Linked DNA regions of Saccharomyces cerevisiae S288C. The gene in region 4 interacts genetically with the main gene of each other region. Each region holds a gene or a part of one and is shown on either strand. Other genes may lie near its edges. The genes, in order: ARO7, RRI1, DAL81 and STP1.

The links.
Region 1: mutations in STP1 (region 4) and ARO7 together harm fitness more than expected from each alone (negative genetic interaction), as found in Saccharomyces cerevisiae (2 studies listed by BioGRID).
Region 2: mutations in STP1 (region 4) and RRI1 together harm fitness more than expected from each alone (negative genetic interaction), as found in Saccharomyces cerevisiae (2 studies listed by BioGRID).
Region 3: mutations in STP1 (region 4) and DAL81 together harm fitness more than expected from each alone (negative genetic interaction), as found in Saccharomyces cerevisiae (4 studies listed by BioGRID, with this or other methods).

What each region holds. Positions count from the first base shown.
Region 1 is NC_001148.4:674,241-677,476, reverse strand, and holds ARO7 (chorismate mutase ARO7), read left to right. Parts: upstream 1-1,845; coding exon 1,846-2,616; downstream 2,617-3,236. Other genes in the region: FCY1 (cytosine deaminase), read right to left, coding at 1-312; JID1 (Jid1p), read left to right, coding at 595-1,500; YMC1 (organic acid transporter), read right to left, coding at 2,803-3,236. UniProt on the Saccharomyces cerevisiae protein: Catalyzes the Claisen rearrangement of chorismate to prephenate. Acts at the first branch point in the aromatic amino acid pathway where it steers biosynthesis towards phenylalanine and tyrosine, and away from tryptophan.
Region 2 is NC_001136.10:68,405-71,955, reverse strand, and holds RRI1 (COP9 signalosome catalytic subunit RRI1), read left to right. Parts: upstream 1-1,636; coding exon 1,637-2,959; downstream 2,960-3,551. Other genes in the region: GDH2 (glutamate dehydrogenase (NAD(+))), read left to right, coding at 1-1,316; translocation channel protein TIM22, read left to right, coding at 3,350-3,551. UniProt on the Saccharomyces cerevisiae protein: Catalytic component of the COP9 signalosome (CSN) complex that acts as an regulator of the ubiquitin (Ubl) conjugation pathway by mediating the deneddylation of the cullin subunit of SCF-type E3 ubiquitin-protein ligase complexes.
Region 3 is NC_001141.2:397,800-403,251, forward strand, and holds DAL81 (Dal81p), read left to right. Parts: upstream 1-1,977; coding exon 1,978-4,890; downstream 4,891-5,452. Other genes in the region: MRS1 (Mrs1p), read left to right, coding at 1-586; YIR021W-A (uncharacterized protein), read left to right, coding at 715-927; signal peptidase complex catalytic subunit SEC11, read left to right, coding at 934-1,437; INA22 (Ina22p), read right to left, coding at 5,042-5,452. UniProt on the Saccharomyces cerevisiae protein: Positive regulation of genes required for catabolism of GABA (UGA4, UGA1, and UGA2), urea (DUR1 and DUR2), arginine and allantoin.
Region 4 is NC_001136.10:1,384,863-1,388,993, forward strand, and holds STP1 (Stp1p), read left to right. Parts: upstream 1-1,953; coding exon 1,954-3,513; downstream 3,514-4,131. Other genes in the region: MFA1 (mating pheromone a), read left to right, coding at 314-424; CMI8 (Cmi8p), read right to left, coding at 662-904; mitochondrial 54S ribosomal protein mL40 MRPL28, read left to right, coding at 1,211-1,654; SPP41 (Spp41p), read left to right, coding at 4,010-4,131. UniProt on the Saccharomyces cerevisiae protein: Transcription factor involved in the regulation of gene expression in response to extracellular amino acid levels.

The DNA.
Region 1 (3,236 bases), on a different chromosome or scaffold from region 4:
TGGAATACCATACATGATGATGGCACCTGTACACATGTCGCATGGAGACAGCGTCGTATACAAAGTGGTATCTTTGTACACTTTGCCCTCTAATCTCCCACAGTTTTCCAAAGTGGAGATCTCACCATGTAGTGTGGCGGATCCCTTTTGAAATCTCATGTTGTGACCACGACCGAGAACACTTCCGTCTTTGTTATTGATAAGACATCCGCCAATAGGAACACCACCCTCTTTGTAACCTAAGGCCGCCTCCTCATAGGCAATGTCCATACCCTTCTGATCCCACTTGCTTGCCATTCCCCCTGTCACCATTAGCTATGAAATTTTTAACTCTTTAAGCTGGCTCTCATCAACATAAAACAATGGCTTGTAGATCTCATTGTCGAATTGAAAATGAACTTTTTAATTTCGCAAAAAAAAAAAGAAAAGTTCAGGGTCTCCGGGTACTACCGCCCCTGCAAGGAATGACCGGTGATAATGGAAGAGAAGATATTACAGCGACAGTATAATTAACAAACACGTTGTGTCTTTAGGCTCGTAACTAACTGTACGTATATCTACACACCATAGGTCACTACTTGCAATATATTTGTTATGCTACACCATAAGTTCGTATACCCATTTTTATTCAAGTGGCACTTATCATGTGTAGAAAAGTGTCCCCCACAAATCACTTTTATAGCTAAGTATGCTACAGCGAACGATAAAAATGGCAATAGAAAACTTACGATAAGGGATGAACAATGGCCTGAGTTGGCAGATCCAACTCCCTATGATATTTTTGGCATTCCAAAGGCCGGATCTGGAAATCCTAAACTGGACAAGAAGTCGTTAAAAAAAAAATATCATCGTTATGTAAAATTGTACCACCCTGACCATTCCGATAACATTCAAATATTTAGCTCAGAAAAGGTTACCAACAGTGATAGTAAATCACCGCTGCTGCTAACATCAAGCGAAAAACTACATAGATTTAAAGTCATCTCTCAAGCATATGATATTCTTTGTGACCCAAAGAAAAAGATCGTATATGACACAACGAGGCAAGGCTGGACCACATCGTATTCACCACGTTCTAACGTTAATACTGAAAATTACCAATATGCCGGCTCTTATGGCTACCACTCTAACGCGCAGTATGAATACTGGAACGCTGGGACTTGGGAAGACGCAAATAGCATGAAAAACGAAAGAATTCAAGAAAACATCAACCCATGGACCGTTATTGGCATAATTTGTGGCCTAGCTATATGCATCGAAGGGACTGCGTTGTTAGCCAAAATCCAGGAGTCTCTGAGCAAGGCCGAATTTACTCATGACGAAAGTGGATTACATTTGATTCAGTCATACACGAATTATGGTCTTGATACTGACAAATTTTCCAGATTGAGGCGGTTCTTATGGTTTAGAACTTGGGGACTTTACAAGTCGAAAGAGGATTTAGATAGAGAAGCCAAGATCAATGAAGAAATGATACGCAAACTGAAAGCAGCTAAATGAAATCACCTATTGCGCCGCTCGCGGAATACAATTACTAAATTTTATATATATTCTTTAAAAATGCATCTATACATTCGTTTTTCCACGTATACCAAATTCGAAAAAAGTTGTTAAACCATCGTTTTCACGTTTTTTAATTTTTTTTTGGTTCTCTTTTTTTTTTTTTTTCAATATCAACTTTTTTTCAAACTTCGTGTTGCATTTCCTTTATCGTAAATTTTCAATGGATCTCTATAATCTTCGAAGTTCGAAGAAAAGAAGAAAAAAAGTATTGAAAAGTTGAAACATCGATTCCGTTTTGCTAACAAATAGCACTCAGCATCCTGCATAAAATTGGTATAAGATATGGATTTCACAAAACCAGAAACTGTTTTAAATCTACAAAATATTAGAGATGAATTAGTTAGAATGGAGGATTCGATCATCTTCAAATTTATTGAGAGGTCGCATTTCGCCACATGTCCTTCAGTTTATGAGGCAAACCATCCAGGTTTAGAAATTCCGAATTTTAAAGGATCTTTCTTGGATTGGGCTCTTTCAAATCTTGAAATTGCGCATTCTCGCATCAGAAGATTCGAATCACCTGATGAAACTCCCTTCTTTCCTGACAAGATTCAGAAATCATTCTTACCGAGCATTAACTACCCACAAATTTTGGCGCCTTATGCCCCAGAAGTTAATTACAATGATAAAATAAAAAAAGTTTATATTGAAAAGATTATACCATTAATTTCGAAAAGAGATGGTGATGATAAGAATAACTTCGGTTCTGTTGCCACTAGAGATATAGAATGTTTGCAAAGCTTGAGTAGGAGAATCCACTTTGGCAAGTTTGTTGCTGAAGCCAAGTTCCAATCGGATATCCCGCTATACACAAAGCTGATCAAAAGTAAAGATGTCGAGGGGATAATGAAGAATATCACCAATTCTGCCGTTGAAGAAAAGATTCTAGAAAGATTAACTAAGAAGGCTGAAGTCTATGGTGTGGACCCTACCAACGAGTCAGGTGAAAGAAGGATTACTCCAGAATATTTGGTAAAAATTTATAAGGAAATTGTTATACCTATCACTAAGGAAGTTGAGGTGGAATACTTGCTAAGAAGGTTGGAAGAGTAAGCATGAAGGCTATCACGGTAACAATTCCACATTGCCGAGTGATTACTACGCATATATAAACACACACACTCACCATATATATGTACGCATAGTAGCATCTATTGAATATAAGAAGATAGAGTTTCAAGTTATACATTATATTGTACTATTTTCTTAAACGATGGCTCATAAATTCTATAGGAATTATCAACCCAATAACCTCATCGCTAATTCAAAAGTAGCAAAAGTGGCACCATTGGCGGGAGCAGCTCTTAGCATGGTAGGACCAAACCCTTTGAAAAAAGCGCCTATCCCTCCATTGGCATATAAAGTCTTGGCTACACTGGAAATAGAATTACCAAATTTAGGCTTTTGTAAATTATCCGTTTGCATGACAGACTTGATGACATCTAATGGATATACCATCAACCATAAGGCAGTGCCAGACAATGCTCCAAAAATACAAAGTTTCCATGCAGGAATGTCCTTTCTCTCTAGTCCACGTCTTTTGTTCATTTGGTTAGCAATCAACGCTTCATACACTAAGAAATATGTGCCACATCCATGACCTTCTCTCAATATTGTAGGTGTTAAACCACGTAGCAAGGCCTTGTTATGTCTTAATTTTTTGATGCATTCCA
Region 2 (3,551 bases), 1.3 Mb from region 4:
TTCTAATCAACGATCCATTAAAGGAAAACTATGTCAACCTTTTACCAAAGGAGGAAATATTATTTTTTGGCCCAGATGAAGGAACTGCTGGTTTCGTGGATTGGGCAACTAACCATGCTCGTGTGAGGAACTGCCCATGGTGGAAATCATTTTTGACTGGAAAATCCCCATCTTTGGGTGGTATTCCCCATGACGAATATGGTATGACTTCTCTGGGTGTTCGTGCTTATGTTAATAAAATTTACGAAACTTTAAACTTGACAAATTCTACTGTTTACAAATTCCAAACTGGTGGTCCGGATGGTGATTTGGGATCCAATGAAATTCTTTTATCTTCGCCAAACGAATGTTATTTGGCAATTCTGGACGGTTCAGGTGTCCTGTGTGATCCTAAAGGTTTAGATAAAGATGAATTATGCCGCTTGGCACATGAAAGGAAAATGATTTCCGATTTCGACACTTCCAAATTATCAAACAACGGATTTTTTGTTTCTGTGGATGCAATGGATATCATGCTACCAAATGGTACAATTGTAGCTAACGGCACAACCTTCAGAAACACCTTTCATACTCAAATTTTCAAATTTGTGGATCATGTCGACATTTTTGTTCCATGCGGTGGTAGACCAAACTCAATTACTCTAAATAATCTACATTATTTTGTTGACGAAAAGACTGGGAAATGTAAAATTCCATATATTGTGGAGGGTGCCAATCTATTTATAACGCAACCTGCTAAAAATGCTTTGGAGGAACATGGCTGTATTCTGTTCAAAGATGCTTCTGCAAACAAAGGTGGTGTCACATCTTCATCAATGGAAGTGTTGGCCTCACTAGCGCTTAACGATAACGACTTCGTGCACAAATTTATTGGAGATGTTAGTGGTGAGAGGTCTGCGTTGTACAAGTCGTACGTTGTAGAAGTGCAGTCAAGAATTCAGAAAAATGCTGAATTAGAGTTTGGTCAGTTATGGAATTTGAATCAACTAAATGGAACCCACATTTCAGAAATTTCAAACCAATTGTCCTTCACTATAAACAAATTGAACGACGATCTAGTTGCTTCTCAAGAGTTGTGGCTCAATGATCTAAAATTAAGAAACTACCTATTGTTGGATAAAATAATTCCAAAAATTCTGATTGATGTTGCTGGGCCTCAGTCCGTATTGGAAAACATTCCAGAGAGCTATTTGAAAGTTCTTCTGTCGAGTTACTTATCAAGCACTTTTGTTTACCAGAACGGTATCGATGTTAACATTGGAAAATTCTTGGAATTTATTGGTGGGTTAAAAAGAGAAGCGGAGGCAAGTGCTTGAGCTTCAATAAAATTGTTTTGTATAAATTAGTTCTGCCGTCAGAAAAGAAAATTAAACATATGTGTATGTTCTTCTCAGCGTTTTATTGTGTACTAAGTAAAGTTGTTTATATGTCCATTATTTTTAATCTAAAAAAAGCATTTGATATTTTTTCCTTCGAGTTATCCATTATACTAGGCAGTTCTCCTCAGGGAGCCATGCTTCAGCTGAAACTTTAGGAAAGGCGCGCTACGCAGGAAGCGCTCTTATTAAAGGGTTTTTCAAATAAACTAAAAATGAATAACAACGATCGAAAATCAATAAAAACTGCAGGAGGCAGCATGTCACTTTCAAATAAGACTGTAAAGGAATTACGACAACTACTAAAGGAAAGGTACACCGTGGAAGATGAACTAACTGAATCTATAGCGCTATCAAGTATGCGATTCAAGCCGTCGCAAGAACCTGAATTTCATGCGCTAAGCCAATCTTCCTTGCTCAAAACTAAACTAAAACAACAAAGTAGTACAGATATTCCGAGTTACACCCACGTACTTATATCAAAATTATCATGTGAAAAGATCACCCATTATGCAGTTCGTGGAGGAAATATTGAAATCATGGGCATATTAATGGGGTTCACATTAAAAGATAATATTGTTGTAATGGATTGTTTCAATCTTCCCGTAGTAGGGACAGAAACTCGCGTAAATGCACAATTGGAGTCATACGAATATATGGTTCAATATATCGACGAGATGTATAATCATAATGACGGTGGTGATGGGCGAGATTACAAGGGCGCTAAACTGAATGTTGTTGGCTGGTTCCATTCACATCCTGGTTACGACTGTTGGTTAAGTAATATAGATATCCAAACCCAGGATTTGAACCAGAGATTCCAAGATCCATATGTCGCAATTGTGGTCGATCCCTTGAAAAGTCTGGAAGATAAAATTTTAAGAATGGGTGCATTTAGGACAATAGAAAGTAAAAGTGATGATAATAGTGCCACTTCATACTATGAACTAGAAACAATCATATTTGATTCAGAATTGAACCGAGCGCTATTTGAAACAAAGTTAAACTTACATTGCGTAATAGAGGATGATGAGTCAGAACAAATATCATTAAATAGATTGATCGATTCAATGAAGCAGTATAGCTATTTGATGGATTCCAAAAATGTTAGAACAAGGATTAAGTTGGCTACTACCAGTGAACGTGTTAGCAACGAAAATAAAAAAAACATTGACTATCAAAACCGTTCAACAAGGTCTCAGTTCTGCCTCAATACGCAAAGGGGGGATAGCACTGAAACAAGCTCCTTTGGAAGCATGTTTTCAGGTGATAATACTAGTGACGTAGATATGGAAGATAGAAACCTTACCGAGTTCGACAGTACTGACACTAGTCTGTGCATAAACGGCGAACCGAGCATTCATGTAAATCGCGTGGAAAGAAGCAGCAGGTCTACCGACAATTTTCACAATTCTAAAAAACGCATGAACAGCAATCAGGAAAGATGTCATGATGAGGGCAATGATATGTTACAGAGAAATGTCTTGGAGACAGATTATGCAAGAGCAAAAAATCGAATACTTGCGTCAAAGATAAAACAATATGAGCGGTTACGTTTTTACAAGGACACCTTTACATTATGAATTCCTAACGTTGCTCCAATGACGCTGCAATAGCTTATGTTTATCTGCAACGTACTTTTAATAGTTATTCCTTCTTGAATCTCTATAAGTATATCTATACCGGGTGACAATTTGATATTTTCGTACGCCGTTATGTGTTGGTTTTTGGTCTTACTGATAAAATGGCATCGAGCTTACAACTGAAGAGAAAGACGATGCATCAGTCAACTTAATTCTCTAATAAAACAGACAGCATTTCCTCGGATCCATTTCGTACATATAAAATCCGAAGCTTTTCAGGACAAAATACTATTTTTCTGTCACTACTAAACGGGATAGTACTAAACGGGATAGTAGAGATAGCTGCCAAATAAGATCAAGAAATTGTGATTTTAAATACTTTATACGAAGATGGTGTACACAGGATTTGGTTTGGAGCAGATAAGTCCAGCTCAAAAGAAACCTTATAATGAACTAACTCCGGAAGAACAGGGTGAACGGGGTGCTGAAATGATCATGAACTTCATGACTTCCTGTCCTGGAAAATCAGTTGTGAGTGGTGTAACAGGGTTTGCACTGGGTGGTGTTTTAGGCCTGTTCATGGCGTCAATGG
Region 3 (5,452 bases), on a different chromosome or scaffold from region 4:
CCTACTATACGCGAAATGCCAAGGAGTGTACGTAACTTCTACCAATGAAAAAGCTCGTTTGCTTGCAGCTGTCTGCAATCCTGAATTCATTGACACCTTCTGGTGCGAATTGACTCCCATAAGAGTCTCATTAAAGGAAAACCCTTCCATTTCTGTACCTCGAGAATATCAGATGTACGATCCGGTGGTACGTGCCACTATAAAGGAGGTTGTCACCAAGCGATTACTGCGATCCGCCTTCGATAATGACATCGACCCGCTAATGTGTCTTCATTTGGATAAAGGCTGGAAACTTAAATTCCCCATACTATCCTCGACAACGGGCCTAAACTTCTCCCTGAAGGATTGTCTTTCCCTGGACACAGGAAAAGATGCATCTGATATGACAGAGGTGTTTCTCGCTACTATGGAGTCGAGTAAAGTTCTTCGTACGTATAGCAACCTCGTTGACATTGTGATGAAGGACAATGGTAGGTTGGACTCAGGCGTCCTAAAGCAATTCAACGACTACGTTAAGCAAGAAAAGCTCAATCTACAACATTTTCAGGCCGGTTCCTCAAAGTTTCTCAAAGGCGCAAAGATATAATCCTCTTATATAGCATGTAAATAGAAAGTACGTAAAAAAAAGCTACTATTGACTTTATTCTCCGTGAGGGCGGTTCTTTCTGTAGCTGTTGGTTTTTTCCAGATCTTATGTGACACACCTGCACAACAATGTCATTCTCTGTCAGCTGCAAGACTCCCAAGACCACGAAGCTGCTGGTATCTTCTATTTCAGAGAGCGCTGTTGCTCTTATTATTATTACCATACGTATACTTTTTTCCATTGGCAAAAGCGATTTCAAAAAAATAATCTCCAAGGAAATAAATGGTGCAGAAACAATATACTACAGAAATATACCGGAAAGTAAACCCCAAGGGAGTTAGCACAAGATGAATCTAAGATTTGAATTGCAGAAACTATTGAACGTTTGCTTTTTGTTTGCATCTGCTTACATGTTCTGGCAAGGCTTAGCCATTGCTACTAATAGCGCTTCTCCGATCGTGGTGGTGCTTTCAGGCTCCATGGAACCAGCTTTCCAAAGGGGTGATATCCTTTTCCTATGGAATAGAAATACTTTCAACCAAGTAGGTGATGTCGTGGTGTATGAGGTCGAAGGGAAACAAATCCCCATTGTGCATAGAGTTTTGAGGCAACATAACAATCACGCGGACAAGCAATTCCTCCTGACCAAAGGTGACAATAACGCCGGCAATGATATCTCACTATATGCTAATAAGAAAATTTACTTGAACAAGTCAAAGGAGATTGTAGGGACCGTCAAGGGCTACTTTCCACAACTAGGGTACATTACGATTTGGATTAGCGAGAACAAATATGCCAAGTTTGCATTGTTAGGTATGTTGGGGTTGAGTGCTCTGCTGGGGGGCGAGTAGTTCGCCAAGTTTTTTTGGAACGATGTTTACGTACTTTGTATTTGTGCTTATGGTCTTTAACTTGTTTAATTATATAACCATAACCATTCGGTCCACGCTGAAAACAAAATATTGTCTTAGGACACGCTTTGAGAATTATTGAAAAAGGAGCTCCCACAGTGATGTAGGCAATTCAACAGAGATGATTTGTGTCATTTTTTATAAGGTGATACCGTCGCTCATTAACTCGATATCTTGAAAAGGCATATGTGTCGGTAATTGAGACCGCTAGGTTTAACTTCTCGAATAAAAAATGGTCTAAGCTGCATAAGCATATAGAATTGTACAATCAGTGTATAGGTAGAGCAGAAGCAGTCCAAGATTCGAGCTAATAATACTCATATAATATCCATCGCGATGGGTATTATATGAAACATAACAATCGTACATGGTGATTGAAAATAATAGATGATAAGAATCATTTTCAAATAATAGTGTAGATCTTAAAAACTCTTGGCCTGTTTAGACGAGCGGCAGAACGACAGGCAGCCATACTATCAAATGGACCCTCACCAATCACCAGCTGATAATGCCGCATCGCCTACGAAGAGCGTGAAGGCAACCACTAAAAATTCGTCCACGAATAATAATGTCAATAGCAACAACAGCAATAATAACAGTAACCATGATATACTGAATTTTAATGATAACTATACTACCATTCTGCAACATTTGGCAAACGACCATCCTAATATACTGAGGGAGAAAGGAGGATCACAACAACAACAGCATCAGCAGCAGCAACAACAGCAACAACAGCAGCAACAACAGCAGCAACAACAGAGCCTGGATACCCTTTTGCACCATTATCAAAGTTTACTCTCCAAGAGTGATAATGCAATAGCCTTTGATGACAATGTTAGTAACAGCGCAGATCATAATGGCAGTAATAGCAACAATAATAACAACAATAATGACATATCTAGTCCCGGTAATCTGATGGGATCTTGCAATCAATGTAGATTAAAGAAAACAAAGTGCAACTATTTTCCCGACCTAGGCAACTGTCTCGAATGTGAAACGTCAAGAACTAAATGCACCTTCAGTATTGCTCCAAATTATTTGAAAAGAACGTCCTCTGGGGCAAACAATAACATGCCAACCTCTTCAAACTCCAAACGAATGAAAAATTTTGAAGACTATTCGAATCGCTTACCCAGTAGCATGCTCTATAGACATCAACAGCAGCAGCAACAGCAACAGCAGCAACAGCGTATACAATACCCCAGATCCTCTTTTTTCGTCGGTCCGGCCTCAGTTTTCGATTTGAACTTGACCAAGCATGTAAGACTAGATAATGTTGACCAAATACAGCTATCAAAAACTTTATCATTAAGAAAGGTGTCTCCTACCGCACAGTTTATTCTTCAGGACGATTTTGACACGACCCTTCATAGTAAGCAAGAATACGAAGTTGATTTGGTCGAAAATCTGGTACATCCGCACGGTCACCTTTTAGTAGAGATTTTCTTCAAATTGATTCATCCTTTTCTTCCAATTTTACACGAACGTGTATTTTTGGAAAAGTATTCTAGATCTTATAGAGAACTCACTGCGCCTTTACTGGCATCCATTTACTCACTGGCATTACAATATTGGGATTTTCATCCTGCACTTTTGGGGTTCCCTAAACCCGATGTAACTGCTCAACTAAACAATATCGCATTGGAAACATTTTATGCTCGAGTTGGAAGGCCAAAATTGAGCATTATACAAACAGGCCTTTTGATTTTGCAATGCCGTAGTGAATGTCATAACAACTGGGTCCTCTGCTCCAGCGTAGTGGCCCTTGCAGAGGAATTGGGGCTCGGGGTTGAATGTAATGATTGGAAACTTCCCAAATGGGAAAAAGATTTGAGAAAGAGATTAGCGTGGGCAGTTTGGTTGATGGATAAATGGTGTGCATTAAACGAAGGTAGACAATCCCATTTAATTTTAGGTAGGAACTGGATGATCAAGCTATTAAACTTTGATGATTTTCCTCTGAATTCGCCCACTATTTTAAATTCCTTGCAAAATGACCAGTCGGGGTCTTCACCCTCGTCATCAAATGATGTGAAAAACCATCAGATAGCATTTGGTAACTTGCCCATATTTAACATAAACCCCACTTTAGAAGATTTCAAGAATGGAACGCTTATGTTTCAACAAATGGTTTCCTTGAGTATAATTCTTGGGGAAATCATGGACACATTTTACACTCAGGGATCCATGACAATAAACAAAAGCATTGAACAGGTATTGAAACTGGCAAAGCCGTTGCAACTGAAATTAAGAGAATGGTACCATTCCCTACCCAAGAATTTGTCAATGAGTTATGCCACGCCACAAAAATTGAACTCAAATTCAACTTTAACTCTAGCTTATTTTGCCACGGAAATTACGTTACATAGGAAAATTATCTGTGCCTTGAATCCTCAAACTCCAAAGGAACTGGTTCAAGTATGCAGGACTGCTGCAAGAACCAGGCTTGTAGCAGCAATTGAATTTATAAGAGATCTAAAAAACGAACATATTAATGCTTTTTGGTATAACTGCTCAACTGGAAATCTGATGCTAATTGGAACATTTGCTGCCCTGCTGTATGTGACTTCAGCTACGAAGGAAGAGGCTATGATTTTCAGAGATTATGTTAGAAATTATACCTGGGTATTGAAGATAGGTTCCAAATACTTTGATAAACTATCGAATGCTTTGAATAATATGCATTTACTATTTGCACAAATTCCTGGTCTTCTGACCGATGAACCGGTGGTCGTGAGCCCTAACTCTAACATCAATTCCGTTAACCCACAAAGGTCAGGTGTACAATCGCAAATCCCAATACAATTTAACGTGGGATCACCTGCCATGACCGAGCAAGGATCTCCTTTAAACCAGTGGAAGAATTTGCCCCAGGAAATCTTGCAACAACTAAACTCCTTTCCCAACGGTACGACCAGTACAACAACGCCAGTAAACCCCACTTCCAGACAAACACAACTAGAATCGCAGGGAAGTCCAGCCATAAATAGTGCTAATAATAATAGCAACAACACGCCTTTACCATTTGCGCCAAATAAGTCTTCTAAAAAAACTTCACAATCTTCACCAAATGTTACGCCCTCTCATATGAGCAGACACCCCCCCTCTAATACATCTTCACCAAGAGTCAATTCCAGCACAAATGTCAACTCTAATACACAAATGAATGCTTCTCCCTTGACCTCAATTAACGAAACCAGACAAGAGTCAGGTGACGCTGCAGATGAAAAAACAGCAGGAAGAGAAAGAACCGCCAACGAGGAATCATCAACGGAACTCAAGGACGATAATCCAAACTCGAACCAGGAAACAAGCGCAACTGGTAACCAAACTATAAAAATGAATGATGATAAAAATGTAACAATTAACACAAGGGAAACCCCTCTGTAATATAAATAATAGCACATAAGTAAAAATGGAATACGGTAATAACTATATAGAAATATCTTCTGCAGGACCAAGGTTACTGAGTGGTGAATGTAAAATTATTTATTCGCTTGCGTTATATTTACATGTGGTATATCCGGATGCATAGAGCCTACTATAGAAATTTTGGGATTTTATCATGTTCTTTGGCGATTTCATTCAAATCACCTGGTTGGTTCATCATCATATGGACATCACCACTTAGGTAAACCTTTTCATCTTCTTTTTTCGACTTTTCTAAATCTTTTAGAACATTCAAATCAGTGACAATCCCTTCTTTGTTCTTAACGCCAGCATCTGGAGTTTTTTCGATTACTTCTTTTTTTGCCTCGTCTATTATACTTTGCCAGATCTCTTCCAATGACTCTTCCTTAGGAACCACAATATCAGTCTCATCTTCCTTCATCCCAGTTGCGTTCTTGCCGACGATTCCTAAACGCAAATTCACAAGTTTCAATTCATCATCTGCGTCGAAGTCTACCTTTCCATTATTATCATGAACCCTCCGTATCAGCTCTTTCAATTT
Region 4 (4,131 bases):
CTGTTTCAGTGTTCAGAAAAAAGGCACCTACTGCTACGGTTGGCCCATACCTTTATTCTTTGTTCTTGTTACAAACGAGTGTGTAATTACCCAAAAAGGAAATTTACATGTTAAATGAAACCCAGTAATCAGAAAAAACAGTTAAGAAACCTAAAATGGTAGAGATAAAGATACAGATTCAGTGGTTGCTGAAAATCAAGTAAAAAAATGAAATAGAGTCTTCATATATAAACCGCCAGAAATGAATTAATGAGAGGGATCTGTAACTGTTTCTCGGATAAAACCAAAATAAGTACAAAGCCATCGAATAGAAATGCAACCATCTACCGCTACCGCCGCTCCAAAAGAAAAGACCAGCAGTGAAAAGAAGGACAACTATATTATCAAAGGTGTCTTCTGGGACCCAGCATGTGTTATTGCTTAGTTTCTGCGTACAAAAACGTTGTTCTCCCTCCTTTATCTTCCTTTTCCGCTACACCAATATATCATGTTTGTTCGTAATATTTCTTTTTAGACCTAATAATAAATATCCTAAGTAACTATATTATATAAAATATTTTGATACCCTGTACCTGCTTTTGTTATCGTTGTACATCCATGCACACGCTCATATATATATATATATATATATATATGTATATGTACATATACCGCTTACCACCTACCGTGAAGTATATGTAAGGGTCTTCGCACCCGGATATCCCTTGTGGGATCTTGGATGCGGATGGTGAGTGTAAACAGGCCTCATAAAGCTGTCTCTGTGTGCGGAAGATGTCGTTTCATCGGCTTCGACCTCCTCCTTATCTTGCTTCATTGTTTCTTCGTAAGAGGGCGGATCTACGGGCAGCGGGGTCGCTGTCTCCTTGTATGCATGCTTATTTATATCACTCTTTCCGCTATCCATCATAATCTGTTTTTGTTTATGTGCTTTGAATACTCAACACATAAAATAATATCCAGTTAATTGTCGTCTGTCCATTGACGCTTTGCCTTTGTCCCTTTAGACTGTCTTTATTGTGAAATATGCACGGCTGAGAATTACGTATACAGTGACTATCGTATGGGGCGACAAAAGTTCCCAGCGAGAAACAAGATGAAGCAGACTGGGGCCTGCCTGTATGGAGGGAAGCATAAGTTAATATACCTCCAGATATTTGCAGATTAGGATACTGAACTGACGAAGACCTACGCTACACAACGAAGATAACACATGCTGGCACAAACATTCAAAAAACCACACAGAGCCGTTCTAGAACAGGTATCTGGGACCACGGTCTTCATCAGAAATAAGAGAACAAAGAGCAAGAGCTCACTGTCACCTTTGGCACAAAGGGTCGTCACGCAGTTGAGTGTGATGTCTGCAAGCAGAAAGCAGCCCAAGTTGCTGAAGCTGGCGCGTGAAGACCTGATTAAACATCAGACCATTGAGAAGTGTTGGTCAATTTATCAGCAGCAACAACGGGAGCGCAGAAATTTACAGTTGGAATTACAATATAAGAGCATTGAGAGATCTATGAACCTTCTACAAGAACTCAGCCCTCGTCTGTTTGAGGCTGCCAATGCTTCCGAGAAGGGCAAGCGATTCCCGATGGAAATGAAGGTGCCCACTGACTTCCCCCCAAATACGTTATGGCATTATAACTTCCGAAAATGATAGCGTGAGCGAACGCTTGACTGTCTCCTGCTGTAAATAACTGATGATCAATAGAATGCCACGTATATATGGACTTATATAATTATATGTACATAGACATATAAAGGGCATGTGGTAATTATGACATGAACTGTATCACTATTGACGTTTTTTTTACTGCTTTTTCCCATCCCTGCAAGCGAAAAAAAAAGCAAGCTGACTCTTGTATAAACTGCAAGGACTCATTGATTAAAAGTAGATTTACATTACAGACTAAAGGAAAAGGCAAACTATACCGGCTATACCACATTCGTTCAAAAATGCCCTCTACCACGCTACTGTTTCCGCAGAAACATATTAGGGCCATTCCAGGCAAGATATACGCGTTCTTCAGAGAGCTCGTCAGCGGAGTTATTATATCCAAGCCAGATCTAAGTCATCATTATTCTTGTGAAAATGCGACAAAGGAGGAAGGCAAAGATGCAGCAGATGAAGAAAAGACTACCACAAGTTTGTTTCCCGAATCAAATAATATAGACCGTTCTTTAAATGGTGGCTGCTCTGTGATCCCTTGCTCCATGGATGTCAGCGATTTGAACACGCCAATATCGATCACACTATCTCCTGAGAATCGTATCAAATCAGAAGTAAATGCCAAGTCACTGCTCGGATCAAGGCCAGAACAAGATACAGGCGCCCCTATCAAAATGTCTACTGGTGTCACAAGCTCTCCATTAAGTCCATCAGGCTCCACCCCAGAACATTCCACCAAGGTCTTGAACAACGGCGAAGAGGAGTTCATTTGTCACTACTGTGACGCTACTTTCAGGATTAGAGGATATCTAACGAGACATATTAAGAAGCACGCCATCGAAAAGGCGTATCACTGTCCATTTTTTAACAGTGCCACTCCTCCTGATCTTAGATGCCACAATTCGGGTGGTTTTAGCAGACGCGATACTTATAAAACTCATTTGAAGGCAAGGCACGTGCTGTACCCCAAAGGTGTTAAACCACAAGACCGTAACAAGTCGTCCGGCCATTGCGCTCAATGTGGTGAATACTTTTCCACCATTGAAAATTTCGTTGAGAATCACATTGAGTCTGGGGACTGTAAAGCTTTACCGCAGGGGTATACCAAGAAAAATGAAAAAAGATCTGGAAAATTAAGGAAGATCAAGACATCTAATGGTCATTCTAGATTCATATCCACTTCGCAAAGTGTTGTAGAACCTAAAGTACTTTTCAACAAGGATGCCGTAGAGGCTATGACCATAGTGGCTAATAACAGTTCGGGCAATGATATTATATCCAAGTACGGAAACAACAAATTAATGTTAAACTCGGAAAACTTTAAAGTCGACATACCCAAGAGAAAGAGAAAATATATCAAGAAAAAGCAGCAACAGGTATCTGGATCGACGGTAACCACACCAGAGGTAGCTACACAAAACAATCAAGAAGTGGCACCTGATGAAATCTCATCCGCCACAATTTTTTCACCTTTTGATACTCATCTACTCGAGCCCGTCCCTTCTAGTTCATCGGAATCTTCCGCTGAAGTTATGTTCCATGGCAAGCAAATGAAGAATTTTTTGATTGACATAAACAGCTTCACAAATCAACAGCAGCAGGCACAAGATAATCCTTCGTTCCTGCCACTCGATATTGAACAATCTTCATATGATTTGAGCGAAGACGCAATGTCATATCCCATCATATCCACACAAAGCAACCGTGATTGCACGCAGTATGATAACACAAAAATCTCACAAATCTTACAATCACAACTAAATCCAGAATATCTCAGCGAAAATCACATGAGAGAGACACAACAATATTTGAATTTTTACAATGACAACTTTGGGTCACAATTTTGATTAAATATAACACGGGATAAAAATAAGGGTATCATATTGGAAAGCCGATGGGTAAAAATTATTGAGTTAATAAATGGAGACAATATTAAAAATCAGGTAACAACAAATAAAAGGTTATAAATGTACTGCTGTATACTATATAAAAACTTTTAGCATGACTAATTAATTTTCATACTACTATGTTAAATAAACCAAGTGATTGCAACACCAATATTTTATTATTGATCTTCAGCGCATAGAGTCGATTCGTAGATATTATCACTTTTGACGTTTGTGATTTCTTTTTCATGATTGATTACCGATGATGCTATAACAAATAAAGGTCAAATTTTGAAAACAATGAAAAATAAGTAGTAAACAAATAAATGCACATTTATTGACACTAGTAGAGTGTAAGAGGAAAGTAATTTTTAGAACGCTTTATACACCTCTATCATTTATTTTTTTTTTGGTAAAAAAAAAACAGTAAGGTGTTAACCATATATCATATTCTGCCATGGCTTATGATGAAGATGATGGAGAGATAAATTTTAATGAACTTGTGGGGAACTTACTAAGCTCACATAACCAAGAGGGACAAGAGGAAGGAGAAGTGCAAGGAGGAGAACAGGAAGGAGA